Elephas maximus indicus: one gene and its partners. The protein of the gene in region 4 binds, or shares a complex with, the protein of the main gene of each other region. Links are inferred from orthologs where the notes say so. Each region holds a gene or a part of one and is shown on either strand. Other genes may lie near its edges. The genes, in order: TMEM17, B9D1, CEP290 and TMEM237.

Region 1 (6,861 bases), on a different chromosome or scaffold from region 4:
TCAAAACTACAATGAGATCCCATCTCACTCCAACAAGGCTGGCATTAATCCAAAAAACACAAAATAATAAATGTTGGAGAGGTTGTGGAGAGACTGGAACACTTATACACTGCTGGTGGGAATGTAAAATGGTACAACCACTATGGAAACCGATTTGGCACTTCCTTAAAAAACTAGAAATGGAACTACCATATGATCCAGCAATCCCAGTCCTTGGAATAGATCCTAGAGAATTAAGAGCCTTTACACGGGCAGATATATGCACACCCATGTTCATTGCAGCACTGTATACAATAGCAAAAAGATGGAAGCAACCAAGGTGCCCATCAATGGACGAATGGACAAATAAACTATGGTATATTCACAGAATGGAAAACAAGGCATCAATAAAGAACAGTGATGAGTCTGTGAAACATTTCATAACGTGGAAGAATCTGAAAGGCATTATGCTGAGTGAAATTAGTTGCAAAAGGACAAATAATGTATGAAACCACTATTATAAGAACTCAAGAAATAGTTTAAACACAGAAGAAAATATTATTTGATTGTTACAAGAGTGGGGAAGGAGGGAGGGAGACGGGTATTCACTAATCAGATAGTAGACAAGAACTATTTTAGGTGAAGGAAAAGACAACACACAATACAGGAGAGGTCAGTACAACTGGACTAAACCAAAAGTTTCCTGAATGAACTGAATGCTTCGAAGGCCAGAGTGGCAGGGGCGGGGGTTTGGGGGCCATGGTTTCAGGGGATATCTAGGTCAATTGGCATAGTAAAATCTATTAAGAAAATATTCTGCATCCCACCTTGGGGAGTGGCCTCCGAGGTCTTAAACTCTAGCAAGCAGCCATCTAAGATGCATCAGTTGGTCTCAACTCACCTGGAGCTAAGGAAAATGAAGAACACCAAAGACACAAGGTAATTATGAGCCCAAGAGACAGAAAGGACCACATAAATCAGAGACTACATCAGACTGAGACCAGAAGAACTAGCTGGTGCCCAGCTACCATCGATGACTGCCCTGACAGGAACACAACAGAGAACTCCTGAGGGAGCAGGAGAGCAGTGGGATGCAGACCCCAAATTCTCATCAAAAGACCAGAATTAATGGTCTGACTGAGACTAGAAGGACCCGGAGGTAATGGTCCCCAGACCTTCTGTTAGCCCAAGACTGGAACCATTCCCAAAGCCAACTCTTCAAACAGGGATTGGACTGGACTATAAGACAGAAAACGATACTGGTGAGGAATGAGATTCTACACATAAGGCTATGTGGCCAGCTCCTGTCTGGAGGGGAGATGAGAAGGCAGAGGGTGACAGAAGCTGGCTGAATGGACACGGAAATAGAGGGTGGAGAGAAGGAGTGTGCTGTCTCTTTAGGGAGAGAGCAGCTAGGAGCATATACAAGGTGTATATAACTTTTTATACGAGAGGCTGAATTGATTTGTAAACTTTCACTTAAAGCACAATAAAGAAAAAAAAAAGATTATCATTATTCCTATTTTACAAAATAAGAACCTGAAATCAATCGCACAACTATTAGGTGATAGAGTGAGAATTTTAGGAGACTTGAACCCTGCTCTCTGCTTTCAAGGGCATTCTTTCCACCACAGCCCAACAGCTCGCTTTACTGCACCCTTTTTGAAAGTTTTGGCTCATGTATTAGCTAAAAAGTGATTCTTTGTTGCTAAATTTTTTTTAATTTCTGGTTGCTTTAATTCACTGTGTTTTAATATACCAATTCTCCACCGTATAGAGTAGGCTTTACAAAGGCTGGTTAACTGCAGAGGTTGCTCTAACTAGAACCGGGAAGATATAGGAGTGGTCATTAGGCCTTTTATTTCTATTTATCACTCAACAGGCATCTAGCCCCCACTCTAGGCCAGGCATTGTGCTAGTGTTGGGAGATACACAGATGAAAGCCCATTCCTGACCTCAAAGAGCTTGTGGACTCGCAAGAGAAGCAGGCACATGAACAGACAATGAACAGCGTGACCAGCACCTTGACTAAAGTAAGTAAAGAATGCTTTGGGAAACAGAGGAGGGCACCTAGGCCAGCTTCAGGGAGATCCTGGGAGTATCTTTGGAGGTGGTGAGGCCTCAGCTACATCTTAAAGAGAAACAGATTAGTGAGTTTTTCCCTGACAGCTGAGACCTCTGGCAGAATTAATCACTTCCTCATCAGCATTCCTTTATTAAAGCACTTACAGCAGTGTACGGTATTTATTTGTTTCCATCTCTCCCTCTCACTGGGTTGAGCTTCCTGAGAGGAGGAATTATATTCCTAATTAGTCTAGTACAATGCCTTGTAGGAAAGCAATACTAGTAGGAATGCAATAAACATCTGTTGAATTAAAATGAAATTCTAGCCACAAAGTTAGCATTTCCTCCCATACCTTCCTCTTGACATTTAAATAAACATATGTGGTTTTCCTTTTGTTTGTAAAAAATAATAATAATACCGTTCGCCACACAACCATTAGAAGAGCTAAAAGGAAATGGGTGGAAAATAACAAGTGTTGGTGAAGGATATGCAGCAACAGGAATGCTCATACATTGCTGGAGGCAGCAGAAATTGGTACAACCACTTTAGAAAACCGCTTGGGAGTGTTTACTAAAGCTGGGTCATATCCTATGACCCAGCAATTCCACTCCAACACAAATCCAAACATAACAGTCCCAAACTAGAAAAACATACGCAGATGTTCGTCAACAGTAAAATGTATAAACACATTGTGGTACGGCCACACACCACAAAGAGAACGAAACTACACATACTCAACCATGTAAATGAATTTTACAAAAAACAACGAACGTAGAAGGCCACGAGCCAGATCCGGAAAAAAAAAAAAAAGTAAAGCACCTAAAACCCACTGCAGTGGAGTCGATTCTCATAGTGACCCTAAAAGACAGTATAACTGCCCCACAGGGTTTCCAAATTTTTTTTTAATCTTTATGGAAGCGGACTGTCACATTTATCTCCAGGGGAGCAGAGGGCGGTTAGAACCGCCCACCTTTCAGTTAACAGCTGAGTGCTTTAACCTGCACCACCAGGGCTCCTCAAAAAAGTGCTTACTATAGGGTTCCTTTTATATAAACTATAAAAACAGGAAATTATTCTATGCTATTACAGATCGGGAAAGGTTAGTGGGGAGCTTAGTGACTGAAAAGGACAGCGCCGGTAAGGTTCTATTTGCTCCGGTTACTAAACACACGTGTAAATTCAGTTTGTGTCCTTTTCTGTATGTATAAAAAAAAAAATTATTTTTATTTTTTTATATACGTACATATTATATTTTAATTAAAAAACAAAAACTTAAAGTAATACATCTTATTTGAGAGAAAGCTGGAAAATACAGAAATATTTAAAGAAACTTTCTTGTTGAAATCACCCAGAATCCCCCATCCAGAAATAACATTGTTAACATTCTGTAATTTTTTCCAGTCTTTTTTTTTAACCAGTGTGCAAGCCCTCTCTCCTTCCCCCGCTCCCCATTTACACACAAATTTTGCTAAATTACATTCTTTCCTATTTCACTGTACTTTTTTTTTTCAAGTCAATCCATATCATCAAATATTCTTCGCAGCAATGTTATTTATAAGCTGCTGCAATGCGCTTCATCGAATGTATGTGCTCTAATACATTTAATCAGTTCCCCATTGTTGCATATTTTCGTAATTTATAATTTTTATTAAACAAATTATTTTTTTTAATCAGTGCACATTATTACATATATGTATACACATATGTATATACATATAAAATTCCTAGAAGAGGAGCTACTGGGTCACGAACATTCTCTAAGCTCTGCATCCGGTCTGTATTTCCCTTCAGGAAAATTGCACCGATTTACAGACGCTGGCAAGGTGTGAGGAATCCTTGCATCACAATTCAACCCCAGATCATTTATTCTTATTAGGCTGTTGTTTTTGAAGATGGTGGAGCTTAAACGGGACTAAAGAATCTGCCGTTCGGAACACCACCGCGGCGCTCTCCACACACCTCCTCCACCACGCGCAGGCTGCGACCCGCACACTCGGCTCGGCAGACTCGGCCCCTGCAGTGCCGCCCTGAGCGCGTGTCCAGGCCCCGCCACGTCTCGCGCCGCCCGGTTGCCATGGGGACCGCAGAGCGCCACGGCGCCCGCAGACTCGACTGTATCTGAGGGGCGAGGGGTACTGAGGCCCAAGCATGGAGCTGCCGGATCCGGTCCGCCAGCGGCTGGGAAACTTCAGCCGGACCGTGTTCAGCGACTCCAACCGGACCGGGCCGGAGTACACCGAGGGTCCGGGTGAGTGGCCGAAGCCCAGCGCAGAGGGTGTGGCCCGCCTAGGGCCTGACGCGGGTTTTTTGAGCAGCCAGATTTTGCCCGCACCTAAGATGGCGATTCCGCCTTCAGCTAGGTCACCGTGGTGCGCGGAGCGCTTTGGCTTCTTGGCTGGGCCGGGCCCCGACCGCGGTCCAGTCCAGGTCGGCTCACGCTGTGGCCCGGGAGGCGCGTCGCAAGCGCCGCAGCAGATTTGGCGCGGGCCTTTGTGTCGTATGAGGCGCAGCACTGCCTGCGAGGAGACTTAAAAAAAAAAAAATTAAAAAGCTGCCTTCCCCGTGTGCTGGGTCCCGCGCCTTTGCGAAGGCCGACGTTGATTTTCCTCTGCGCCTGCCCAGGTTTTCTGGGTAGGATCGGGGGAAACAACCCAAGTGGCGTTATCATTACCCCCGCCCTCCTGGGAAATACCTTTGCCTTTTCTCTCTTCCCCGCAGGACAAGCATCTTCCTCCACAAGTACGTTTTCCAGCAGAAGAGATGAAAGAAACATTTTTTAATGAGTCATTTTAAACCTTTGTTCACTTCAGAGTGGCAGCTGCCACAGTAGACGGCCTTCGACTTGTCCCCTTCCCTGCCTTCTCCTCCTCCACTATATATAGCTCTTTTCCTAAATCTGGTAACAAAGTCACGGTGCTGCATTCAACAGGATGACAAGTGATAACGCAGTTTCCTCCAAAACAGTTTCCTCCTAATCTTGATGACAGATACCATCCTGTCTGACCAAACCCATTCGGTTTTCATCACTGAACTCTGTTCAGAAATAGAAACTTTTTCTTCTGACTGGTTTTAAGGATTTTTTTTTTTTAAGGTGGCAAAGAAAAGCAGTTTCCATAGTTGCAGTTTGTCACATTGATCACTTGCCTGTTCCCCCAAATTTTAGGCCTCTTTATGATTTGGGAGGTACAGAGAAAGACATAATATGAAAAATTAGGTTTTCTCGTTTCTGATACTAAAGCTGAGGCTTAACAGACACTAAAACCTGACTATGCAAGGTAGTGATTTAAATCAGGGGTCAGCCAAGTTTTTCTGTGAAAGGCCGGGTAGTAAGTTTTAGGCTTTGCGGGCCATGTGGTTTCTGTGGCAACAACAGACAAGAAGTGAATGGGCATATATAAAACTTTATTTGTAGACACTGTGATTTGAATTTCTTATGGGTTTCATGCATCACAAAACATTATTCTTCAATTTTAAAAAAAAATACCACAATAAAAATTCTATTAAAAAGTTCATAATCATCAGACATATTCTAGCTCAGTGAACCCTTCTTGCTATGAGAGACCATGACTATTTCTTAAAATTTGTTAAATGACAGATTAAAAAATACTCAGTTGTAGAGAAAAAGGAAAAAAAACCCACCTTTTTAAAAGAATTATTTTACAACCTTTGTAAATTCCTGCATTTAGAGCAATTGATTTGAAAATATGTGTCCGCTCTTAGATTGTTAGAATTTAGTCAATTTTAGGATGCGTTTTGTAGGGTTCAATTTTTTCAATCAAATTCTTAATTTAGGACCTTTCTCCTTTACATAAAAGCAAAAGGTATTATGTAATCAGGCTTAGATAAATGGAACTCATTTTTCACTAATGGCTACACTGGTAATGTCCTTATGACAGCTTGTTTCCGTTAATTCGTTAATTCGTTCTTTCAGGTTAGGTGTGCTTGGTATTTACTGTTGTAAAGCAAGACAGTGGTTCTGTGAGGGCTTCAGTTTGGAGTAGGATATGATCTGTGCTCACGATGAGCCTGTGTATAGGTAGAAGAGGAGAAGGAAAGGGTACTACTTTTTATTGAGTGCCTACTAAGTGCCAGGCACAGGGCTAGGGTGAAATAATTTTTATTCTTTCTAATCCTCACAAGCACCCTGTAAGGTCATTTTACTGTACACCTGTTGCCGCTGAGTCAATTCTGACTCATAGCAACCCTATAGGACCTATGTCCCATACGGTTTCGAAGGAGCGCGTGGTGGATTCAAACTGCCAACCTTTTGGTTAGCAGCCAGGGTTTCCAAGCTCAGTTTAATGTTAACATTTTACAGATGAAGAAATTGAGGCTCAAAGAGGTTAAATAACATATCCCAGGTCTGGCATCCAAAGTCAGGGAATGGAGGTCCAGCTGAGTTGGACTCTGTCTTAGTCATCTAGTGCTGCTGTAACAGAAATACCACAAGTGGCAGGCTTTAACAAAGAGAAATTTATTTCCTCACAGTAGGCTAAAAGTCCAAATTTAAGGCGTCAGCTCCAGAGGAAGGCTTTCTGTCTCTATTGGCTCTGGAGGAAAGTCCTTGTCCTCAGTCTTCTCATGGTTGGTCGAGGAGCTTATCAGGCACAGGGACCCTGGGTCCAAAGGACGCATTGTGCTCCTGGTGCCGCTTTCTTGGTGGTAGGAGGTCCCCCACTCTCTGCTTGCTTCCCTGTTCTTTTATTTCTTGAGAGATAAAAGGTGGTATAGGCCACACCCCAGGGAAAATCCCTTTACCTTGGATCAGGGAGGTGACCTGAGTAAGGGTGGTGTTACAATCCCACCCTAATCCTCTG
Region 2 (7,931 bases), on a different chromosome or scaffold from region 4:
ATTTTGATTGCGATTGCGTGGAATCTATAGATCATTTTGGGTAGTTCTGACATCTTAACAATATTGTCTTCCAAACCATGAACATAGAACATCCTTCCATTAATTTAAGTCCTCTTTAATCTCTTTCAGCAGTATTTTATAGTTTTCATTGCATAAATCCTTTACATCCCTGGTTAAATTTATTCTTAAGTATTTTATTCTCTTAGATGCTATTGTAAATGGAATTGTTTCCCTAATTTCTCATTCAGATTTCTCATTGCTGGTGTATAGAAACCTAACTGATTTTTGTGTGTTGACCTTGTACCCTGCAACTTTGCTAAATATCTCTATTAGCTCTGGAAGTTTTCTTGTGGACTCTTTGGGATTTTCTATATATAGGATCATATCATTCGTGAATAGAGATAATTTTACTTCTTCTTGTCTAATTTAGATACGTTTTATTTCTTTTTCTTATTGCTCTGGCTAGGACTTCTAATACAATACTGAATAGAAGTGGTGAGAGCGGGCACCCTTGTCTCATTCCCAATTTCAAGAGGAAAGCTCTCAGTCTTTCTCCATTGAGTATAATATTGCCTCTTGGCTTTTCATATATGCCCTGAATCATATTGAGGAATTTTCTTTCTATTCCAATCTTTAGAATTGTCATGAAGAAAGGCTGTTGGATTTTATCAAATGTTTTTTTGCATCCATAGAGACGGTCATGTGGTTCTTTTCCTTTGTTCTATTGAAATGGTATACTATGTTGACTGATTCTCTAATGCTGAACCATCCCTGCATTCCTGGAATAAACCCCACTTGGTCACAGTGTATGACTCTTAATATGTTCTTGGATTCTGTTTGCTAGTATTTTGTTGAGGATTTTTGCATGTATATTCGTAAGAGATATTAGTCTGTAGTGTTCTTTTCTTGTGGTGTCTTTGGTTTGGGTATCAGGGTTATGTTTGCTTCATAGAATGAATTGGGGAGCATTCCTTCCTTTTCTATCTTTTGGAAGAGTTTAAAAAGCAGTAGTGTGAATTCTTCTCTAAATGTTTGGTAGAATTCCACAGTGAAGCCATCTGGTCCGGAACTTTTTTTCGGGGGTGGGGGGAGGTTTTTGATCACTGATTCAGTCTCTTCATTTGTATGAGTCTGTTGAGGCTTTCTATTTCCTCTTGAGTCAGTTGGGGAAGGTTGTGTGCATCTAAGAATTTGTCCATCTCATCCAGGTTATCCAGTTTGTTGCCATACAGTTGTTCATAATATTCAGTCATAATTCTCTTTATTTCTATCAGGTCAGTTGTAATGTCCTCTCTCTCATTTTTTTATTTTGGTTATTTGCATCTTTTCTTTGTCTGTCTAGCTAAAAGATTGTCAATTTTATTGATGTTTTCAAAGAAACATCTTCTGGTTTTATTGATTGTCTCTGTTGTTTTTCTGTTTTTTTATTTCTGGTCTTTATCATTTCCGTTCTTCTGGTAGGTTTAGGCTTAGCGTGCTCTTCTGTTTCTAGTTCCTGAGCTTGTCTAGTTATGCTGTTAATTTGAAAACATTTTTCTTTTTTTATGTAGACATTTACTGATACAAGTTTCCCTCTGAGTACTGTCTTTGCTGCAACTCCTAAGTTTTGATATGTTGTGCTTTCATTTTCATTTGATTCTAAGAAATTTGTGACTTCTCTTTTGATTTCTTCCTTGACCCATTGGTACTTTAACAGTGTGTTGTTTAATTTCCATATGTTTGTGTTTTTTCCAGGGTTTTTCCTGTTGTTGATTTCTGGTTTCACTCTGTTATGGTCAGAGAAAATATGATTTCAGAGAAAGTATGATTTCAATTCTTTAAAATATATCCAGACTTGCTTTATAATCTAAAATGTGGTTTATCCTGGAGAATGATCCATGTGCACTGGAGTAGAGTGTATATTGTGCTGTTTTAGGGTGGAATTTTCTACATATGTTTATTAAGTCTGGTTTGTTTATAGCGTCATTCAGAAAGGACAAATGGTTTTTAAATATCTACAGTGTTTTTCAGCAATACAAGCTGGACTCCAAATGCATTCCCATCATCTTCATGGGAGATTGTTGCTACCACTGACTAAAACCTGGTAGGCAGGGGCCTTATAATCCCCATTTCCTCAGAAGCTGAGACTTAGATAAATTAGATCCTCAGCCCAAGGTCACACAGCTTGTGAGGGGCAGTCTGGATTGGAGCCGAGGGCTGTCTGACTCACTTCTCTACAGCTCCCTTGGCCAGTTTACCCCTGGAAGAAGCCTCTGCATGCATTTCCTCCCTTGAATTTCATGGGCAAAGGGGAAAGGTACAGCCCCTGAGGCAGGATTCAGAGAGCCAGAGATTCCCCCAGACCTTCCCAGGCCTAGGCCCAACTTAACAGGAGAATGAGGTCATCCAGGCATCACCCTCCTCTTATTATGACTACATGGAGGCCTAGAGTAGGGCAGTGACTTAGTAAGCTGGGGACAGGCTGGGGATAGTAACCCCTGAAGCCTGCCTTGGGTTCTACCCTGGACCCCAGACCACCTACCATGGACCCCGTTATTCCGTTGTGCTGCTGGATGCTGAGGTTCCCGAGCTTTCTCTGGCTCCTGGCCTCCCTGCTGGGCCCAAGGATTTTAGTCTGATTTTGGTGAGGATGAGAGAGGAAGCATGGGATGGTTGGGGGCCAGAGGATACTGGCCTGGGGAGGTGTACAGACAGGGTGGTGCTGGGGGCTGCAGAGGAGGGTGGCACTGACCTCCTGCTCTGCTGAGTCAGCTTCCAGCCTGGATGTCTGACACCTACCAGGCAACAGCTTGTCCCCCAAACTCCCTGCCCCAGGGTGCTCAAGATCGCATGAGCTTGAGGAGATTGTGAGGCAGGAGTCCAGTGGAGGGCAGGGTTGTGCTGGGTGACGTAGAAGAGGAAAGTCGAGGAGTAGAAGCCAGGAGGCACATCCTGGGGCAGGGAGACCAGGGCAGGAGCTATGTGCCCACTGGTGGAGAAGCATCTCAATCCATTAACCACCAGTACAGCCATATTGGGCACATCGGCTGAGGGCCCCCATCCCCACACAGACCCGTATGCCCCACCCCTAGAGCTGCACAGTGTGCTGCTGAGGCCACTGTCCCCCAGCAACTGCAAAGACACTTTTCGCCTCCAGCCTGACTGTCCCACCCTGGATGTCAGCCTACTTGAGGGCTCTCAGTGCACCAGGCCCCAGCTGGTCCACCTGAACTTGTGGTAACGACTCCAGCTGAGCCCTGAACAAACCCCTAAGATCCCTTAACACTCCCTCCAGTTCCTCCTAAAGAGAGTAGACTCCACATTACCCTGGGATCTCCCATTCACCAACACCCAGGGAGCTGGGCTTCTCTGCACCTCTGGTGGCCACCCCAGAGGCCCCTGTCCCTTGGGGGAAGTCCCCCTTTTGTGTCCTATTCAAATGTGAAGTAGGCTTTGGCATGGCCAGGTTTTAAAGCACAGAAGCCCCCTGGTTATTTGATCATCTCAAGCATTTAGCTGCAAACTAACTTTGGCACAGTCCTGAGTCTCAAAGGTCACAGAAGGGAAGGAGTTGGGCAAGACTGGTAAAATTTGTCAGAGAAAGCATATTAACAAGGAAGAGACAGGGTGTGACATGGGGTGGGGTGGTGTGCGGCCAAGTGCCCAGGAACTGAACAGCTCCTACTTGTGCAGCCCCCACCTGTTGCAGCTCCCAGCCTCTATCACATGAATAAACCCTGGTTACCCACAGCCCCCTCTCCCCAATCAGGTATCTTTGTTTACCTGGGGTCAGGGCTTCAGCTGGTTGGGCTGTAACCTATCCTTCCCTCTCCTCCACCAGTGACTGACAGGAGCCCCCTTGTGTGCTCCTAAGCTGGCAGCTGGCTGTTGAGCAGGGTGGTGACCTGGCAGCCCACTCAGGGTCTGGCTTCCCAAAGTCTACACTCCTGTGCATCCTTTCATTTCCTGGATTTGGGAGGTCTCTAATGCCACTTCAGATGCTGAGCCAAGAAGTGACCCAGGACAAGGCAGAGGGGGCGGTGAGGGTCTCTAGTCTGTGGAGCTGTGAGTTTGCGTCCTGGCTCAGCCACCTAAAACCAAAAAGCAAACCTGTTGCTGTCGAGTTGATTCTGACTCATGGTGACCCTAAAGGACAGAGTAGGACTGCCCCATAAAGTTTCCAAGGAATGCCTGATGAATTTGAACTGCCAACCTTATGGTTAGCTCTTAACCACGACGCCACCAGGGCCTCCACTGCTGTGATTTTGCCCAAGTCACCTTCCTTCTCTGAATCTGTTTCCTACTCTGTAAAATGGGGACATATTCAATTATTCATTCATTTAGCAAGTATTTATTGTGTGCTTGCTATGTGTCAGGCAATGGGGATACCAGACTGACAGTCTCCATATTCATGCAGCTGGCAGTCTAGAGGGGGAGATAAGCATTGGCCCAAATTATGAGTCTCAATAAACGTACAAACAGAAACCATGGTTAACGGCAAGAGGACGAGAGAGGCCTAAGAGGAACTGTCATTTGAGCAGAGCCTCACAGGTCGGAGATTCTGCTCTAGTCCCAGGCACTGCCCCTCTGTGGGCCTCAGTTTCCCTAGTTTCAGAAGTGGTGGCTTAGTTTGTTTAATAAACATTTTTGGGAGGAGAGTTTAAAAACACAAGCGGGTACCACCTTAGCCCGATGTGGGGCGCTGCCTGGCCTCAGCTCGGTAACGTCCCTCCAGAGCCCAGGTAGCCGACCCTGTCCTAGGCACCTGGCCCCCGCCTCGCACTGATAGGCGGCGACACCGTAGTCCCAGCACATTGAGCCCCACGGTACCCTCCTCGACTCTCCCGGCAGCGTCCGCTAACTGCGCCTGCGCAATACCACGCACGCGCACTAGTGAAGAAATATGTCCCGCGCGCCACGCCGTCTGTTTCCAAGGTAACCTCAGCGCCTCTTAGCAACCGCGCTGCAACCAGGGTCGGCTCCCGGTGCCCCCCGCGCTGCCATGGCGGCGCCGGGTCCCAGCGTCTTCCTACTCATGGTCAACGGGCAGGTGGAGAGCGCCCAGGTGAGCGACCGGGACCCTCCCCAGCCTCCCCCGGGGATACGCCCCTCGGCCCCTCCGGCTGCGTTGCGGTCCAGCGAGGCCTGTCGTTCCTCGGAGCTTCTGTCTCCCTTGGTGAGGCGGGGGAGGAAAACCGGCGTGTGAGGGGCTCGGCGCAACGATGCTAGGCGTTCCTAATGCGCAGCGTGGAAATTGAGGCTTGCAGAGGCTGAGCTCGTGCCAGGGGGACGCTTGGTCAAGCCTCTGACCCCTGGCCTTGTTGAATCACGGGCAGGAGCTTCACGGGGCGTCACTGGGGCAACTGGGCCGGCGCACAGGCCTCCTCCGCCCGTGACCGAGTCGGGGCGTCTGTGAGCCTCAGATCATGGAACTCAGACTGGAGTGGGGATGATTTGGGTAACCCTAGCCAACGACGGTGGTGGTGGCCAGGAATCATCCAGGGAGGTGTGTCTGTCATACCAAAGGGACGCTACTCCCCACCTCCCAACACTTTATAAAAACGTTAATAATCATAATAAAAGCCAATGTGTGTCAGGTATTCACTCTGCACCAGACGTGGCCCTTAGCCCTTCCCATTCATTCAGCACAACAACACTGTGAGATGGGTGTTATTAACATCCCTGTGTTACAAGTGACAGAGCTGGGGTTTGAATCCAGGTCTGTCTGACTTCAAAGCTTTGCTACACCTTAGCAGTGACCTTATGGGGTATTGGAAATGGTGTTTATATGTGAAGATTAAATGAGATGTTTTAGGTAAAGTTGTGCCCAGGGCCTGATACTTACTAGGTGTTTCCTACCTTCAGTTTCCTCATGGATGCTTCTGCCCCATGCACCCATCCTGCCACCTCCCCCTTGGTCTAGCACCTGATGCTGTCTTCTGCCTTTCTCCTGTTCTATCCCATCAGGGGCTCTCAGCAGGGCTGGGTCTTTCCTCATGACATGTGTCCTGATGGCTTCCTGGTTCTCAGACCTTTCACTTCGGCGTTATCCCCTTAGACCTTCTCTGTGCCCACCCTGTGCTTCCTATGCACAATCTAATGGGTTGGCAAACAGACAGGCAATCAGTGCTTTGATGGAGGAAAGCCCAGGTGCTGAAGGAACCTGGACAAGAGGGCAGGCTTTCAGGAGGGTAAGTTTTGAAGGATGAGCAGCAGTTTTCCAGATGAAGGAGTGGGAAGAGCATATCAGACAGAAAGCAGAGCCTGAGCAAAGGCCCAGGGGCTGTAGCAGCTGGGAACCCTCCTCTGGACTCCCACAGTTCAGTCCTCAGCCCTCTCTGCTGAACGCCATATCCATGTGTCCAACTGGCTCTTGGGCCCTGGCCCAGGTGCCTCATGTTCAGAAGTCCTTTTGGCTGCACCTGCCTAGCCGACATGTTGGTGGGCCTCAACATGAGTCCCAGTAAACAGAATTCACGTGTGCTTTTTTCCAGTTTCCAGAGTATGACGACCTCTACTGCAAGTACTGTTTCGTGTACGGGCAGGACTGGGCTCCCACGGCGGTAAGCTGAACTCTTGGGCCTCCCTCGCTGACAGCATTCGTGATTATTGGGGTTTCTGAAGGTGTCCATTATACCCCTTCCCCTCCCAGCTCAGAACCAAGTTAGAGGGAGACAGAGTTTGGAAACAAACGTGAGTTTGTTTTTGATAAAGCTGGAGTTGGAGAACACAGCCACAATTGGGCTACCAAATAAACCCCCACCGCCAGACTATTCTCACTCAGGTACCCTGTCCTGTGAGCTTATGTGTGGCAGCAGGTGGCAAAGAGGAACACAGGTGCAATGCAGCAGGCAGGCTCCAGAGTGCCAACTTGGAAGGGATGAGCTGTAGATACTTTGGGCCAGTCCCTCGTCATTTGGCCTCTCCTTAGACCATGGGGAGGACTTTGGAGAGTCACAAGACAGAACAGGATCTCTCACTTCCTAGGCTTCCTAGAGAACAGTCTCTCCACCAGGAGAGGGATTATAGTGATGTCTTCAGTTTGCACATACTTTACTCTTTGCACAGCACTTGTTTATACCTCACAGCAGTTAGGGAAATGGAAGCCCAGCTTAGATAACTTTTCTGAGTCTCCCATTTCCTCATCTGTACAACTAAGATGACAGTACTTTTTTTCCATTCACTTATTTATCGAATAAATATTGAGAGTCTTCTGGGAAACCCTGGTGGCATAGTGGTTAAGTGCTACAGCTGCTAACCAAAAAGTTGGCAGTTCAGATCCACCAGGCACTCCTTGGAAACTCTATGGGGCAGTTCTCTTTCATATAGAGTCACTATGAATTGAATTGACTCAACGGCAATGGGTTTGGTTTTTTTTTTTTGTTTGTTTTCTGGGTGCTAAGGATACAGAGGTGAACAAAACCAGACAAAAGTCCCTGTCTTCCTGGAGTACACATTCTTGTGTAGGTAGACAGAAAATAATAAATAGTAAATATTCTAGTTTGTTAGTAATAAGTTCTGTAGGGAAAACAAAGTCAGAAATGGGGGGAGGGTATGAAGGCAAAGAGGGAGGTTGATATCATGGAATTACCTTGAGTCGGAATTGATTTGACAGTGACTGGTTTGGGTTTAGGAATCTAGACATGGTGGTCAGGGAAGGCCTCACTGAGAAGGTAGCTTTTGAATAAACACCTGAAGGAAGTGAGGGAACAAGCCATGTGGAAATCTATGGAAAGAACCATCCAGGCAGAGGGAGCAAAAAGTGCAAAGAAAGGCTCTCTCTGTGGCAGGAGAGCCTTTTGAGGAGCAGTAAAGAGGCCAGAAGGAGTCCTGGTGGCACAATGGTTAAGTGCTTGCCTGTGAACTGAAAGATTGGTGGTTTGAACCCACCCAGTGGCTCTGTGGTAGAAGAGACCTGGAGATCTGCTCCTGTAAAGACTGCAGACTAGGAA
Region 3 (7,870 bases), on a different chromosome or scaffold from region 4:
CTATACTCAAAGCTGTGACTTTCATGAGTGTTAGGGTTCTTGGGAATAAAAACCCCTATTACTGGGGACTGCTCCTTGAAGTTTCTTTTATCTTCAGTTCATCCCGCTACATCAGAAAGTCCCTACTGTCTCCTTGTAAACTGGTAATATTTTCAGCTTTTCTTACTAAGGTCTATTTATAACTACACCTCTTTCCCCAACTTCTGTTCCTGCAGGTTGCTTTTTTGGACAGAACCTAACATGACTCCATAACTGAGCTCATGAGCCTACACTAGAGCCAGCTCTCTCTCCCTTTTTCTAATATTAAGCTCCCTTGGGGAATTTTAAAATTCTATTATCTCTGCCCTTCATAACCTCTGTACAGGTGAGTGGATGAGTTTTAAGAAGCATCATGTTTGTTTATCAATGAGGTGCTAATCATCACTGAGGGGATGGCACTGCAAGATGTACACTCTTCATGCCTACTCACTAAATATTGGTAAAGTACCCCAACTATTATGACAACTAAAATAAAAATGTAAGCTTATAATGTCGTGGCTCAGTAATTTGGGCTGCTGGGTTCAGCTGAGTGGTTCTTCTACTGGTCTTGACTGGGACCACCAACAAGGCTACAGTTATCCCCTGGCCGGACTAGGGCTGGATAGTCTGAAGGATAGGAGTCTCAGCTTGGAAAGCTAATCTCTGCTCAATCACATTCACCAGTAGGTTAGCCTGGGCTTCTTTAAATGGTGATCTTAGAGCAGATAGGAGAATAAGTCCCACCCAATGCGCAAACTCTTTTCAAGCCTTTGCTTATTTCAAATTTGCTACTATCAATCAACTAAGTTAAACCCAGAAGCGATGTGGCAGAGGTTCTAGTGGGCCAAGACAATAGAATTTTTGAAGATTCCCCAAGGGAGCTTAATATGAGAGAAAGTTAAAGTTTTAGGGCACGCTCGTGAGCTTAGTTGTGTAATCATCTTAGGTTTTGTCCAAAAACACAAACTGCAAGAGCTGAGGTGTTTGTGCGTGTATATGCGTATGTAGTGGGGGAGGGGGGAGGTTAACAAGGGCATAGAGGAAGGCATGACACTGGGAGACTACTTACTATATAACAGTGTAACACACCATTGTTGTTTGCTGTGTGAACTTTTCTTTTTTCCAGGCACGGTAGCATATTCACACACACGCATATAATGTTAGTGGCTGGGATCACTGGTTTATATCTGGTACAAAAACGGGATGTCACTATATATCTTATTATAGGTAGTTCCCAAGTTAGACAACGAGATTCGTTTCTGTCTTTAAGTTGAATTTGTAGGTAAGTCGAAACAGATACACATGGTTCTTACTGAGCATCAGTTAGTCAAACGTTTGTTTTCCTATATAGTATGTATTTTACCTTTCTATGCATAAACACTTAAAAACCACTGTCAAACAGCACAATGTTTTCATGAGCGTCACAAAGTAGTGCCTGCGTTCGTTATTATGAACCACTGTATTAACTCAAATTAACATAATAGGTTTTATGCCAGCCCATTCTTAAGTACGAGTTTTCCTTAAATAGGATGTTTGTAACCTGGGGACTGCCTGTACAGCTATGATTTGTTTTTCCACATCACTAATCATTTTATAGGAAACCCTGGTGGTGGAGTAGTTAACAGTTCAGCTGCTAACCAAAAGGTCAGCAGTTCAAATCAACCAGGCACTCCCTGGAAACTCTATAGGCAGTTCTACTCTGTGCTATAGGGTTGTTATGATGCAGAATAGACTCAATGGCAATGGGTTTGGTTTTTGGTTTTTTTAGTCAGTTTATAAATAGAGGACTGCAAATTGTAAAACCAAATACCTTCACTTGGCAACAACATCCTTCAATGGACAATTAATTACATTTAATAATACAAATTTAAATATTTCTTCATCATGAACGTTTCCTATTACCATTGCTCCATTTTCTATGTTCTTATCTTTAAGAATACTTATTACCAGGAACTTCAATATCTGAGACCAATAGTCTATATAATTATCTTCTCTAACATTTAAAATTTTTTCTTTACTGCATTTTCAAAGAATTATCAAATTAATTTTTTATGAAATCTATATCCTGAAATTTTACTGGGAGCAGATTTTTTCTCAAGTATTCTAGCATTTCTTTGAATGAATCTGTTTCAGCAGGGGGCAACTTGTTATGGATTGAATTGTGTTCCCCCCAAAACTGTGCATCAACTTGGCTAGTTCACGATTCCCAGTATTGTGTGATTGTCCACCATTTTGTCATCTGATTTGATCCTCCTATGTGTTGTAAATTCTACCTCTATGATGTTAATGAGGTGAGATTAGCTGCAGTGATGTTAAGGAGACAGGGCTCAATCCACAAGATTAGGTTGTGTCTTAAATCGACCTCTTTTGAAATATAAAACATAAAACGGAGAAGCCAGGAGAGTAGAAAGAGGGGGATCTCATACTACCAAAAAAGTAGGGCCAGGAGCAGAGCATATCCTTTGGATTCAGGGTCCCTGTGCTGAGAAACTCCTAGACAAGCGGAACATTGATGACAAGGGCCTTCCTCCAGGGCCCACAGAGAGAAAAAGCCTTCCCCTGGAGCTGGTACCCTGAATTCAGACTTCTAGTCTACTAGACTGTGAGAGAATAAACTGCCATCTGTTAAAGACGTTCACTTGTGGTATTCCTGTTATAAGGGACCCTGGACAGCCAAGACACAGCTCTACCAGAGAACTGGTCCTTTTCACCTGAACCACAGAATAACTTCGAACTGCAAGTGAAGATTACTCATGAATTATAGAGATACAAAATTTAATGCCTTCAACATAACTGAGTGTTCACTCATTGCAATGATCCAAAAATTATTACAGTATAATTATCAGAAAAAAATAAACCTATAAAAATTTTTATATGAATCTGGGAATATTTAGTCTGGAAAGGAAAGTTCTCCCAGGTTAAGGATTCCATTGTGATTATATCATCTTATTCAATAAGAGCAATCTACTACATTCTATTTTTAAAGTCTGCAAAACTTTGTTAGGCCTGCAAAGTTTGCAAAGTCTGCATGTCTGGTGACTCCTACTAATCTTTCCAGTCTCATGCTGTGGGAAGACAAGTATCAGCTTGTTGCAAACTCATCCTTCCCCGTAAGAACAAGGCGAAACAAAACATTTATTATAAACAGTGGATATTAAATTTCTTATGGCCATGCTTTATTTTAGACACTGGGAAAGTAAGCAACCACTCATTTTTCTGATAAACCAAAATCAAAAACCTGTTGCCGGGGAACTGATTCCGACTCATAGCAACCCTATTTTTCTGAGAAGGTAGCTGAAAGTATATGGAAAATCATCTAAGGAATACAGGCTGGTTGGTAGAGAAAACAGAGGTAGCAATTATAAAAGGCAAATCTTTCTTATGAAGTGATTTTGGTCAGAAAAAATTCTTCATAAAGGCCTAAGGAAGAAAAAAGGCAGGTCTAAGCAAGTTATTTATTTATTTATTTTTTAAGCAAGTGTTCCTATAAGAAGGCCATTCATTAAACTGAAACATAAATCCCTTCTCTTTGTGAAAACTGACTGATGAAGAAAATTAGATGAAAAGTAATGAAGAGTTTTAGCGATTTTCCTCAAAATTACATACTGAGTGACTGGACTAGAACTTGAGTTAAATTTCCTGATTTTTTATAGCTAGGTACAAAGAGACTGCAGCACATAAGAACCTAGGCCTTAGCTAACTTGTTTTCTGCTGTATCCCCAGTGCCTAGTGGAGCGTACAACTTCAAGTTTATTGTCAGAATCAGTTAAACTATGACATTTAAGTACAATTTCGCTTTGGATTTGTACTGGTAGCCAAAAGATTGGCTGGTGGATTTCAACTGCCAATCTTTTGGCTACCAGTCCAGCTCTTAATTAACCACTGCGCCACCACTGAGGACAATATAAACACGTATCTCACTGCATTCCTATGAAAATTAAGTGAGAAAATGGATAGTTTTTGGCATGTAACCTTTTAGTAAAGGATTACACAAAATTATCATTCCTCCCAAAGGTCAGCAGTTGGAACCCACCAGCTGCTCCGCGGGAGAAAGATATGGCAGTCTGTTTCCCTAAAGATTACAGCCTATGGGGCAGTTCTTCTCTGTCCTGTATGGTCACTAAGAGTCGGAATCCACTTGATGGCAGTGGGTTTGGTTTTTAATACAAACTTGTCTTTAAAACTTATCTCACAAAATCACTACCTGTTTTTATTTTCTACTGAGCTAATTTTTTGTTATTACCCAAACGTGGTTTGGACAGAAATCTATCATTTATCTTCAAAATACTATCAGTCATAAAAAAATAAGTACAGATGAGAAGCACTGGTCCATATAGTTGGAAAAGTCATTTCAATTTCCAGTCTACTATTGATTTTTTATTGCAGAATAGGAAACCCTGGTGGCGTAGTAGTTAAGTGCTACGGCTGCTAACGAAGAGGTCGGCAGCTCGAATCCGCCAGACACTCCCCGGAAACTATCGGGCAGTTCTACTCTGTTCTGTAGGGTCGCTATGACTCGACGGCAGTGGGTTTGGTTTTTTTTGTTTATTGCAGAATAGAAACCCTGATGGTATACTGGTTAAGATCTACGGCTCCTAATCAAAAGGTCCGCAGTTCGAAACCACCAGGCCCTCTATGGGGGCAGTTCTACTCTGTCCTATAGAGTCGCTGAGTTGGAATCGACTCAACCGCAAAGATTTGGTTTGTTTAGTCCAGTATGGCCGAAAGCACAGAGATGGACCAAAACTTAATAGGAATAGCAGCGACGAACGCCCGACAAGCGCTACCATAAAAGGGCAGCCCCCTCGGTTATCAAGCGACAGAAGCAGGACTAAGATCTCTTCTCTCTAAACCCCAGCACTAGCCTGGATAGGTACTAACCTTTTTGCTCTCGAGTTTTCACTCTACCCTAGCTCCTTAACCTTGGAGCCTTCAATGCGCGCAGGAAAAGGTGCTACAGGTAAGGGGGTAGGGTCAGAAGAATGCGGTGTCCGCTTCTCAATTCCTCAGTAACCCCAAATCAAGGTCTCGGCAGCGTTGCCCCCACTCCACTGTATGGAGAGAGATTCCGATGCCAAAAAAGGGTAAAACTTTTTTTTTTTTTCTTTTTTCTTTTCAGAAGGCACCACCCAGGGCGCCGCTGGCAAACATCTGAGAAGGCGGGGTCTTAACTCCTCTTCAGATCCGGGCGGGGCCCTTCGGACGCAAAGGTAGGAGATTCTGTAAATCCGGACCGCTCCTTTCAACCCCTCCCCCGCCGCGGACCGACAGCTCGACCTCACCTGGGAGCGGCTCCACCGATGGCTGCTTAAGGAAACCTCAGGAAGAGCGGCCCGGTGAGTGACGCTACCGACGCCACAGTCATGGTCTACCTCGCTCAGTCCACCAGCGCCGACGCGCCTCAGCCACCGCGCCTCCAGCCTCCTGGTCCTACCCCTGCCGTCCTGGTATAGTCGCACTGCACGCTGGGAACGCCCTACATCCCAGAGACTTCAGCTCCCAGCGTACACATGCTTCCGAGCAGAACTGCACGCCGGGATTTAGAGTCTTCATCCCACTCCTTCTCCTGCTCCTTAACCCCGAGTCGATGTACCCCCCCGCCCCCGCCCCCGCCCCCGCCCGGGGAATCTGAACGTAAAGCATCATTCACCGCCGTGAAATGTAGCCTCCCCTTGCATCCGGGACCTTGCTCTGGCCTTGGCTGGGTGGGGAATGGTGTCGCCTAGCAGCGGCTGCCGCTTCTGCTTGCTCGGGACCGGTTGGCGGAACCAAGAGGCCGGGTGGAACCGCGCTGAGAAGCGATCGGGGCGCGGCAGCGGGGCTCGGTTTGGTGCGTGCGATAAATGAGGGGCCGCTGGTGGATCCCAGGCTTGGTCTAGGTGGGTGGCTCCCGGTGAGCGGGAGCTACAATTCTGCATAGGTTTTTGGCCTCAGGGCCCATTTGCAACAGCTCAGCTTCCCCGTCTCTTCTACCTCTGGTCTGCAATTCTTTTGCCTTCTTTTTGTTTCAGCCCTGGTTTCCCCGGTCCATCTGCGCTCATAGTAACCAATTTTTTTTACGCGGTTTTTGTACCCAGTTACTACTAATGCGAGCCAGGGGTCATTTTTTAGCCTTTACTGCACCTCTGCGCTTAGCACCCTTGGATGTGCGCGCGCTTTGGTGGTAGGAGAGGGTGAGGCAGAGGACCCAGAATCTTACCCTCGACCTGAATTAGTTTTAGCCAGAAAGCTGCCATATTTTATTTAGCAGGAACAAGAGTTTCTTCTGACTGCGTTAGTCGTCTGCTGTAGTTCTGATCAGGGTTATTTTGCCTACTTAACTGTTTTGCAGTTAAGCAGCAAAAGCTCTTCGTTAACTAGCTCAGGCAGTTATAGTGAGTCAATAATGCTGTTTACTTTGGAAAATCTGATACTCCGGTTTTGTTACAGAAGGTAAAGCACGGTGAAAGAATTCAACATGCCACCTAATATAAACTGGAAAGATATAATGAAAGTTGACCCAGATGACCTGCCTCGGCAAGAAGAACTGGCAGATAATTTGTTGATTTCTCTATCCAAGGTGCTTAATTGATAAATAACACATGGATGTACATTTTTTTTTGTTGTTTATGTATGTGTATGATTAAGTTGTCACTGACATCATTGAATGGTGCAACCGGAAGAGTTCTTGTATTTTGATTAAGGGTTAAAGTTGTTTGTTTGTTTACTTAGGTGGAAATAAATGAAATAAAAAGCGAAAGTCAAGAAAGCTTGATACATCTTTTCAGAGTTACTCAGTCCCTAATGAAGGTTTGTATCCAATAGGCTTAATACTTTTTACTATCTTAAATAAGATGATCTTTGTGAAAGTACTTTGTGAAATCTAAATTGCTATGAGTCAGAATCAACTCGATGGCATACAACAACACAACAAATTGCCACTCAAAAATATCTCCATGTGATTGAGAGCCTTCAGTGTGTAAAACATTGCAGTTTCGTACTGTAATGTTCCTAAAAGAATGTATAGGGGAAACAATGAGTATGTTTAAAGGTAAGTAAGTATGTGCTGAGGTGCAAATGAATAATGCAGACAATGACTGCTATGGGAATTTGTTAGGAGGGGGAGAGATTTAAAAGTTTGAGGGAATCTAATAAAGGATAATAACTAGTCTTAGGAAAGTAGAGGGGTATGGTAAGATGGCAAGGGCATTCTAGAGCTGGGGGTTACTGTAAATAAAGGCAGAATAGATAATATGCTTATTCTTTACATTGAAGGAGATAACCGCAGAAAGCATGTAGCAGATTGTAGAGGAAATAGACATTAGTGGATAGTTTCTTATAGGCTATGGAAGACCTAAAGATATATTTTAAACTATCAACAATGAGGAGCCATTAGACATTTTTGAACCACAATTGATGCAAAAATATACCTTAGGAAGGATAAACTGGGTTTGGTACATAGGATGAATTGAAGGGAGTTGATGCTGAAGCTAGACATAACACAATGGGTTAGAATTAAGAACTGAAATTGAAAAAAGAAGTAGTAAAGAAATTTGTAAAGGAAAAAGTTGCAATACTGACATAAATCTTGAGGGAAAAAGAAGACTCAAATGTGTTTCCAACTGGTAAGAATCTCGAAACTATAATTTTCAATAAGAAAATCATTAATGTATTCATTCAACAAATAATTACTGAATGTCTCTATGTGTTAGGCATTGAAGGCACTGAGAATTAGGATGGTAAATAAAACAAAATCCTTATTCTTAGTGGCTATAGCTAGTGTTAAGACACTGAAATAACTTTTTTTTTTTTTTTTAATGTTTAGATGAAAGCCCAAGAAGTAGAACTAGCATTGGAAGAAGTTGAAAAAGCT
Region 4 (7,988 bases):
GACATTGTTTTACACCAGAATGCAAGGTTCTCAGTTCATATGTAGACTGGAGCACAAGTGAACAAGTTAAGTAAGATAAGGGGCATACAATGTGTAGGTCAAACTTTTATGATCCTTGTATTTTCTTTGTGCTTTCCTTAAAATGTGCTTAATAAAGGAAAGACAGACTTGGGTCAAAGCTGGTGGTCAGTGTGAAGATGGCAGGAGTATCTAATGTGAGGTAACAGAAAGAGGAAAGGGAAGGGAGGTGAAACAGAGCTGATCCACCCTGAAAATCTGCCTTTGTCTTTGTGCCTTGAGATCATGTATAGAATCCTACTCTCAGATTTCAATAAAGGATACCATAGCTAGTAAGTGGAAGAGCCAAAATTTGAACTTCGTGTTCATTCTAGAGCACCACCTCCTGACTATTAAAATTTTTGTTTGTTTTTTAAGAGTTGAGGACTTGGGGGGAAGATGAGAATATACTCCAGCTAAAAATAATTGCTAATTTCTGGTCTTAGAAATTTAGAGAATATGCATATCAACTCTAGGAAATTTGGACTTCTGTTTTAAATGTGCATTTAATTTTTCTGTATAGGGTATTCAAGTGGCTCGAACCCAAGAACTGAAGCCCTATGTCATCTTTATAAAGCCATCTAACTTGAGTTGTATGCAGCTATCTCGGAAAAATGCCAAGATCATTACAGACTACTTTGTGGAGATGAAGTTCAAGGTAAGATACAGAGGAAGTGGTTGATTGTATTTTTTTCTAGTTAAAAATCACAGTACTGTTCCCAGAGGATTCCTGTGTTAAGGAATGTAACATTTCTAATACATAATATCCTCAACATCACTTACAGATGTTAAAATAAGTTTAATAATGCTATGATGCTAACTTTCCTTTTTTTATTTCCCCCTTTTTTGATGGAAGGTCCCAAAGCCAGTTTGCAAAAGTCTGACTCTTTTACACAGAAATTAGGTGTGCACAAGCCTGATATTTGTATTTTAAGAGGATTAGTTATAAGAAAGTTTACTTTAAAATGTCATAGTGAATATTTTTGCCCATTCCCAAGAAAGGTGATCTGACCGAATGTGGAAATTATTGAACAATATCATTACTATCACATGCAAGTAAAATTTTGCTGAAGATCATTCAAATGTGGATGCGGCAGTATATCAACAGGGAACTGCCAGAAACTCAAGTCAGATTCAGAAGAGGATGTGGAGCCAGGGATATCATTGCTGATGTCAGATGGATCCTGGCTGAAAGCAGAGAATACCAGAAAGATGTTTACCTATGTTTTCTTGACTATGCAAAGGCATTCAACTGTGTGAATCATAACAAATTATGGATAACATTGCGAAGAATGGGAATTCCAGAACACTTAATTGTGCTCATGAGGATCCTGTACATAGATCAAGAGACAGTCATTTGAACAGAACAAGGGGATACTTCGTGGTTTAAAGTCAGGAAAGGTGTATGTCAGGGTTGTACCCTTTCACCATACTTATTCAATCTGTATGCTGAGCAAATAATCAGAGAACCTGGACTGTAGGAAGAGAACAGGGCATCAGGATTGCAGGAAGAATCAATAACAATCTGTGTTATGCAGACGACACAACCTGGCTTGCTGAAAATGAAGAGGATTTGAAGTACTTAACTGATGAAGATCAAAGACTACACCCTTCAGTATGGATTGCACCTCAACATAAAGAAAACAAAAATCCTCACAATTGGACCAATAAGCAACATCATGATAAATGCAGAACAGTGAAGCTGTCAAGTGTCAGGGATTGAACTGCATCCCCCCAAAACATCTGTCAACTTAGCTAGGTCATGATTCCCAGTATTGTATGACTGTCTACCATTTTATCATCTGATGTGATTTCCCTATGTGTTATAAATGTTATCACTATGATGTAATAATATGGATTAGCTGCAGCTTTACTGATGAGATCTATAAGATTAGATACTCCCTTAAGCCAACCTCTTTTGAGAAATAAAAGAGAAAAGCCAACAGAGAGACATGGGAGCTCATACCACCAAGAAACAGTGCCAGGAGCAGACTGTGTCCTTTGGACATGAGGTTCCTGCACAGAAAAGCTCACAGGCCAAGGGAAGATTGATGACAGGGACCTTCCTCCAGAGCAGAGAAAGCCTTCACCTGGAGCTGGCACCCTGATTTGGACTTGTAGCCTACTAGACTGTGAGAGAATAAATATCTCTTTATTAAAGCCATCCACTTGTTTTTGTTTTACTTGGATCCACAATCAACAGCCATGGAAGCAGCACTCGAGACATCAAAAGATGCATTGCATTGGGCAAAACTGCTGCAAAAGACCGCTTTAAAGTGTTAAAAAGCAAAGATGTCACCTTGAGGACTGAGGTACACCTAACCCGAGCCATGGTGTTTTCAATCTCCTCATATGCATGTGAAAGCTGGATGATGAATAAGGAAGACAGAAGAAGAACTGATGCCTTTGAATTGGGGTGTTGGTGAAGAATATCAACTACACCATGGGCTGCCAGAAGAACGAACAAATCTGTCTTGGAATAAGTACAACCAGAATGCTCCTTAGAAGCAAGGATGGCAAGACTACATCTCACATACTTTGGACATGCTATCGGGAGGGATCAGTCCCTGGAAAAGGACATCATGCTTGGTAAAGTAGAGGATCAGCGAAAAAGAGGAAGACCCTCAATGAGATGGATTGACACAGTGGCTGCAACAATGGGCTCAAGCATAACAACGTTTGTGAGGATGGCCAGGACTGGGCAGTGTTTTGTTCTGTTGTGCGTAGGGTCACTGTGAGTTGGCACCAACTCTACAGCACCTAACAACAACAACAACATAGTGAATATACTTTGTGTGTAATATCAGGTATCTTACTACCTTACTTCTCATTATTTTTGTTTTTACATTTTTTCAATGACTGTTTTATAAAACTCTGATTCTCTAGAATGCAGTTAGTTCAGTGAAGTTTATGGGTGCACTTCAGAGTAAAAAAAAAAAAATTGGGGGGAATTTAAAATTGTGTTCTCATTTCGATGGCTGTCTAAGCAAATTAATAAAATTGTTCTGGGCCATGTGTATGGCCACCTTGTCAAGGGGTACTTTCACAAAATTTTAGCGCCTGTATTTGCATTTGTGTTTATGATTGCATTGGCAACAAGTACCACTACTTTAGTTGTCATGAGCAAATAAGAAAATAACAGCAATAAATTTAATTACTATCCTTATGGATGTGACCATTTTCTATCTGCAAGATAACATCATTCTTATCAGGTTAATGTTCTTTTAAATTTTAAGTTAAAATTTTATTTATATTTAATTGATAAATTTGCTTTGGTTTTATGTTGTATATGGTTTGAAAGCTTCAAGTGTTTAGGTAATAAAATAAATTTAAGTCCAGGTGGGAAGCTGAGTGGTCATTTATTTGACCTGGTTTTTTATAAATAGCTTCTCAACCAATGTGACAGCATAACATACTGTATATTAATTCTATTTGTCTCATTCAATGTCTTATGCGTATTTTTCTATTTCTCCTGAAGGATGAAGACTTACAAGAGATGGAGGATTTAGCCCAAAAAATGGAGGCCCAGTTTGGCCAGTACTTTGATCATGTGATAGTGAATGACAACTTGCAAGATGCATGCGTCCAGTTGTTGTCAGTAGTAAGGAAAGCTCAGGAAGAGCCTCAGTGGGTCCCAGCAACATGGATTTTCTCTGATACCACATCTTAGGGAGGCCTCCTGCTTAATGCTGGAGTTTTAACAATGTACCTTGGTGATAGATACCTGGAATAATAGCTGTAATATAAAATAGCGCTATTTGACCCATTGTAATGCGTGCGACTTTAAAAGTGCGACTCGACGGCAGTGGTATAGTTTATTAATTAATCTTATTTAAAAATAAATGTGTATTGTATGGGTATGTAGACTGGCTTTTGGGAAACTTGTTTTTCCTTCACCTCCTATGCAATGTAGGAACATGAATGTGAAAATATCAAGTCACTAAACCTGAGAACCTTTCATTTATTTCATATGGCTTTTATAGGATTCAGATTGAAAAAGCTTTTCCTAAATAAAATTAGCAGGATTTCATTTCAGAAACTGTGTTTTACTACATAAACCTTGCTTCATGAAAAAGTGTTTGTCATTGTGCTTTTTACAAAAAGTGCCTATTTGACTAACTCAGCAAGAGAAGTTAATATATGTATTTCACACCTAACATCAAAACCTCAGAAACTGCATTGCCTCCATTATCTACAAATCAATCCACAAGGAAGATTATTCTTCTGATCACAAGTGTCCCAAACATTAATCTTCCTAAAAGCCAGTATCCACCTTTATACCTAAATTGCTGACCTTTTGATTAACAGCCGAGTTCTTAACCACTGAACCACCAGGGCTCCATGCCTAAATTAAAACAACAACAAAAAAACCCAAACCCAGTGCAGTGGAGTGGATTCCCACTCATAGCGACCCTATAGGACAGAGTGGAACTGCCCCACAGCGTTTCCAAGAAGTGGCTGGTGGATTCAAACTACCCACCTTTTGGTTAGCAGCTGAGCTCTTAAACACCACACCATGCCTCAATTAGGAAAGGCCAATTGGTCCAAAAGACCAATATACAAGAAAACCACAAGATGGAGATGTTATTCCAAGAAGTCTTGTTTTTCTTTCTTTTCCCTGGGCCTGTGACTTCAGTCGCTCTCCCTGTCCCTGTATTAGTTTATCTTATGCATCATTCTCCCCTTTCTCCATATTCATACCATTCCTCCACCCATCCCATCGCTTTCTTCATCAAAACCTTTAAGAAAATTAAATTTTAAGGATACTTAACTGAGTCCAGATTTGATTTTATGTTGTGGTTCGCTGAGAAAGCAAAGGGTTGGCCGACACCCACACCCTCCCGCACTGCAACTGTGGGCGGGGCCGGGGGGGGCAGGGAATGAGGGGGTAAACGCGCCCGTCCCTGACTCCGCCGGCCGGGAATGCTAGCTTCCCCTCGGAACGCCAGGCGGAGCCGGGCCGAGACGGGCGGAGTCCGGGCCCCAGGGGCGGCGGCCTAGTCAGGCCGCTCCGAAGCCCCCGCCTCTAGCAAGTCGCGGAGGCCGGCGCGGCGGGGAGCCAGGCTCCGGCCCGCGGCAGTTGCGCCCAGGGAGCCCCGTGGGGAGAGGACCATGAGCCCCGAACGGAGGTCTCAGCTGGAGGCGAACCACCGGGTGAGCGGGAAGGGTGCGAAGGCCACGAGAGGTGGAGGGTGGGCCCCTTCACCGAGCAGCCGCCCCAGGGGCGGGGCCGACGCCAGCCGATTAGGGAACAAATGGGGGGGTACTGGTCGTGGGGTGCGTGCATCTGCCCCTTCGTCGCTCGGAGGATTGGGGCGGGGGCTGGAAGTTCGTTCTGAGGAGGCCGGGACCCCCGATTGCTGGAGCCAGGCGGGAAGCCGTAGGAGTCGGAGCGCCCGCGTTGCCAGGACGACACGGTACTTGGCCGCCGTGACTGTCGCGGGTTTCGGTGCTGCCAGCCAGGTCCCTCCGGGAGGGCGCTCTTTCACCCTGTTTCGGAAGAGCTGTATACAAGCGGAGGCTTTTAATCATGGTCTTCTCTCACGTCCCCCAAACAAATCACCGCAACCACTCGAGAAACCACAGGGAAGACTGATTGCCGACCCATGTCCGCCGGAGTCTCTCCTCCCGAGCACGTCAGCCCTTCCCTCGACGCCCCTTTTCCCGCTGGAGTGGATTGGAAGTGTTAGACCTGACCAGGCCCCTCGCTTCACCCCCACTAAACCCCTGAGGTAGCTGTAGGCCGGGAGCGGCCGCCCGCGCAGCCCGATGACGCGAGTGCGCCTGCGCGCGCGGCCCGGCCGGGCTGGGGTGTGAACGCGGGGCGCGCGGCAGCGGCCGAGCGAGCGTCCGGCTTTTACACAGAATGGGAAAGAAGCAGGTGGTAAGCGAGGCCTAGTTACATTTATTTATTTGGGTTATTAAGATTCTGTCTTCAGCCGCCTTACGTTTGAGGGGCTTACAAGTTGGGTCTCTAGATGAGTGAAATGTCATTTTTGCCGGACTTTTGAAATGTGAAGTTACCGAGTGAGCTGGGTCCTTGAATAGAACGCGATCCTCAGAACGATAATGCTTTCATTTGTCTTTTTTTCCAGTTGTAATTTTGACTGGATAGTACTACGACATTATAGCATTTGAATCAATATGCTGTTTGAACGAGTGGATTGCTAGTGGAACAGTCGTGGAACCAACTACAAGAGTGTCTAAAATTCAACCCTTTTGATTCATTGTCCTCTGCAAGCAGCATGAGATCATAGGAACATTAAATTCATTTCTAGGCATGTCTCTTACTCTTTTATTTTGAAAGATTCCAGAATGCTTCTTTGATGTAACGCTCTCTGGATCGCAAACAACTTTTCTTATTCATGTAAAACAGCATTTATAAGTCTCTCCCCCCACCCCCTTTCAATTTTCGCTGCCTTGACACCCATTCTTCACGCTGTGTTCAGCATTCAGAGTGATTTTTTAAAAAGCACGTTACTACGTGGCTTAAAACTTCCATTGGCTTCCTGTTAAATTAAAATTCAGATTCTTTCCCCTGGTCCCACTTAATCTGTCCCCTACCTACCTCACCTTGGTAACCATACTTGCAGCCTTGCTGGCCTTCATTTTTACCTGAAACGTTCAAATGCACCAGAACTTGGAACTGTAACCCTCTGCTTGAAATGTTTGTTGGATCCTTTGCATTCAGGCTTCAGTTCAAGTATCTCAGACTTGCTTCCACCAGAAGTAGCACCTCACATCCTCCCTCATTCACTCTCTTATTACTCTGTTATTTATTTTTTTTCTTCTGGTACTTGGCCACTAGAACATAGGTCCACAAGAGCAAGGATATCTCTGTTTTGTTCATTAGTGTATCCCCAACCCTAAGAACAAAGCCTGGCCTGTAGATAGAAAGGAATGAAAAAATTTTATGTGACATTCAGAAATGGTGGAATAAATTTTAAAAAGCCCCTCTCATTCTCATTACTACCTCCCAGGTTTTTACTGATGGACAGGGTTATCAGATCTGAAAATACTAGCCTGATGCATTATATTTTTCTGTCATGTTTGAACAACATGGTTTTTATTTTTTAAGAATGATGTCTTCATGAAATTGAAGCCATTTAAAAAAAAAAAATTGGAGCCCTGGTGATGCAGTGGTTAAGAGATTGGCTGCCAACCAAAAAGGTTGGCAGTTCGAATCTACCAGCCGCTCCTTGGAAACCTTATGGGGCAATTCTACTCTGTCCTGTAAGGTCATCACGAGTCAGAATCGACTCGATGGCAACGGGTTTGGGTTTTGTGTGTGTGTGTGCGTGTGTTTGTTTTCATGGTATTGTACAGAAAGTAAAGATGATCGCAGCTTTTATGGACAAGCAGTTTTTTCATTTCTCCCTTCCAGCGTCCTCCACGTGCCCTTCCACCTGTGCCAAGGTAAAAATAATTTTCACTAATCATTATTGGACTTTAAAAGTACAAAATGGATAAAAGTAAAAAAATTAACTAGTATTATTGCAAAATTATAATGATTTAGAAAAGACTTCTTAAAATTTATATGAAAAGGATTCCTAAATTTTTAAGGATAGGAAATCTTTGAATCACTTGGATAAGAGTTATAATTAAATGTTTGATTTAAAAGCCCAAATGTTAACATGATATAATAATGCTTCCATTCTGAATGTTTTTAGTGTCTTGTTTATCAGAATTGTTTATGAGAATGTGTATTGGAATTCTGATGTTCTTTTGTTTGCTAGAATAGTTTCCTCAGAGTTTAAGCTGATTTTATCACTGAGGAAATAAGAGTTCTTAATCTACTTAATCCGCTTTACTAACAGACTGAAGGGAATGTGTATGTAGGTTCATAACATTGGGGTTATTTTATTAGCAGTCTTATTAAACAGCTTATTATTGGTAAATGATAACTAGTTTGTAAACTAGCTGACATTGTA

Evidence for each region.
Region 1: TMEM237 (region 4) and TMEM17 share a complex: the UniProt entries of both Homo sapiens proteins name them as parts of the tectonic-like complex. The link is inferred for Elephas maximus indicus from reciprocal best matches to the Homo sapiens genes TMEM237 and TMEM17.
Region 2: TMEM237 (region 4) and B9D1 share a complex: the UniProt entries of both Homo sapiens proteins name them as parts of the tectonic-like complex. The link is inferred for Elephas maximus indicus from reciprocal best matches to the Homo sapiens genes TMEM237 and B9D1.
Region 3: TMEM237 (region 4) and CEP290 share a complex: the UniProt entries of both Homo sapiens proteins name them as parts of the tectonic-like complex. The link is inferred for Elephas maximus indicus from reciprocal best matches to the Homo sapiens genes TMEM237 and CEP290.

Annotation. Positions count from the first base shown.
Region 1 is NC_064835.1:74,245,545-74,252,405, forward strand, and holds the start of TMEM17 (transmembrane protein 17), read left to right. Parts: upstream 1-3,848; 5' UTR 3,849-4,192; coding exon 4,193-4,292; intron 4,293-6,861. UniProt on the Homo sapiens protein: Transmembrane component of the tectonic-like complex, a complex localized at the transition zone of primary cilia and acting as a barrier that prevents diffusion of transmembrane proteins between the cilia and plasma membranes.
Region 2 is NC_064820.1:213,491,713-213,499,643, forward strand, and holds the start of B9D1 (B9 domain-containing protein 1), read left to right. Parts: upstream 1-4,920; 5' UTR 4,921-4,981; coding exon 4,982-5,044; intron 5,045-6,473; coding exon 6,474-6,542; intron 6,543-7,931. UniProt on the Homo sapiens protein: Component of the tectonic-like complex, a complex localized at the transition zone of primary cilia and acting as a barrier that prevents diffusion of transmembrane proteins between the cilia and plasma membranes.
Region 3 is NC_064822.1:151,779,476-151,787,345, reverse strand, and holds the start of CEP290 (centrosomal protein of 290 kDa), read left to right. Parts: upstream 1-4,866; 5' UTR 4,867-4,978; exon of another isoform or gene 4,979-5,137; 5' UTR 5,138-5,354; exon of another isoform or gene 5,355-5,583; intron 5,584-5,714; exon of another isoform or gene 5,715-5,897; intron 5,898-6,447; 5' UTR 6,448-6,475; coding exon 6,476-6,577; intron 6,578-6,729; coding exon 6,730-6,807; intron 6,808-7,822; coding exon 7,823-7,870. UniProt on the Homo sapiens protein: Involved in early and late steps in cilia formation. Its association with CCP110 is required for inhibition of primary cilia formation by CCP110.
Region 4 is NC_064824.1:100,452,196-100,460,183, reverse strand, and holds the start of TMEM237 (transmembrane protein 237), read left to right. Parts: upstream 1-4,970; 5' UTR 4,971-5,169; coding exon 5,170-5,211; exon of another isoform or gene 5,212-5,923; coding exon of another isoform or gene 5,924-5,941; intron 5,942-7,441; coding exon 7,442-7,473; intron 7,474-7,988. Other genes in the region: MPP4 (MAGUK p55 subfamily member 4), read left to right, coding at 581-715, 3,536-3,727. UniProt on the Homo sapiens protein: Component of the transition zone in primary cilia. Required for ciliogenesis.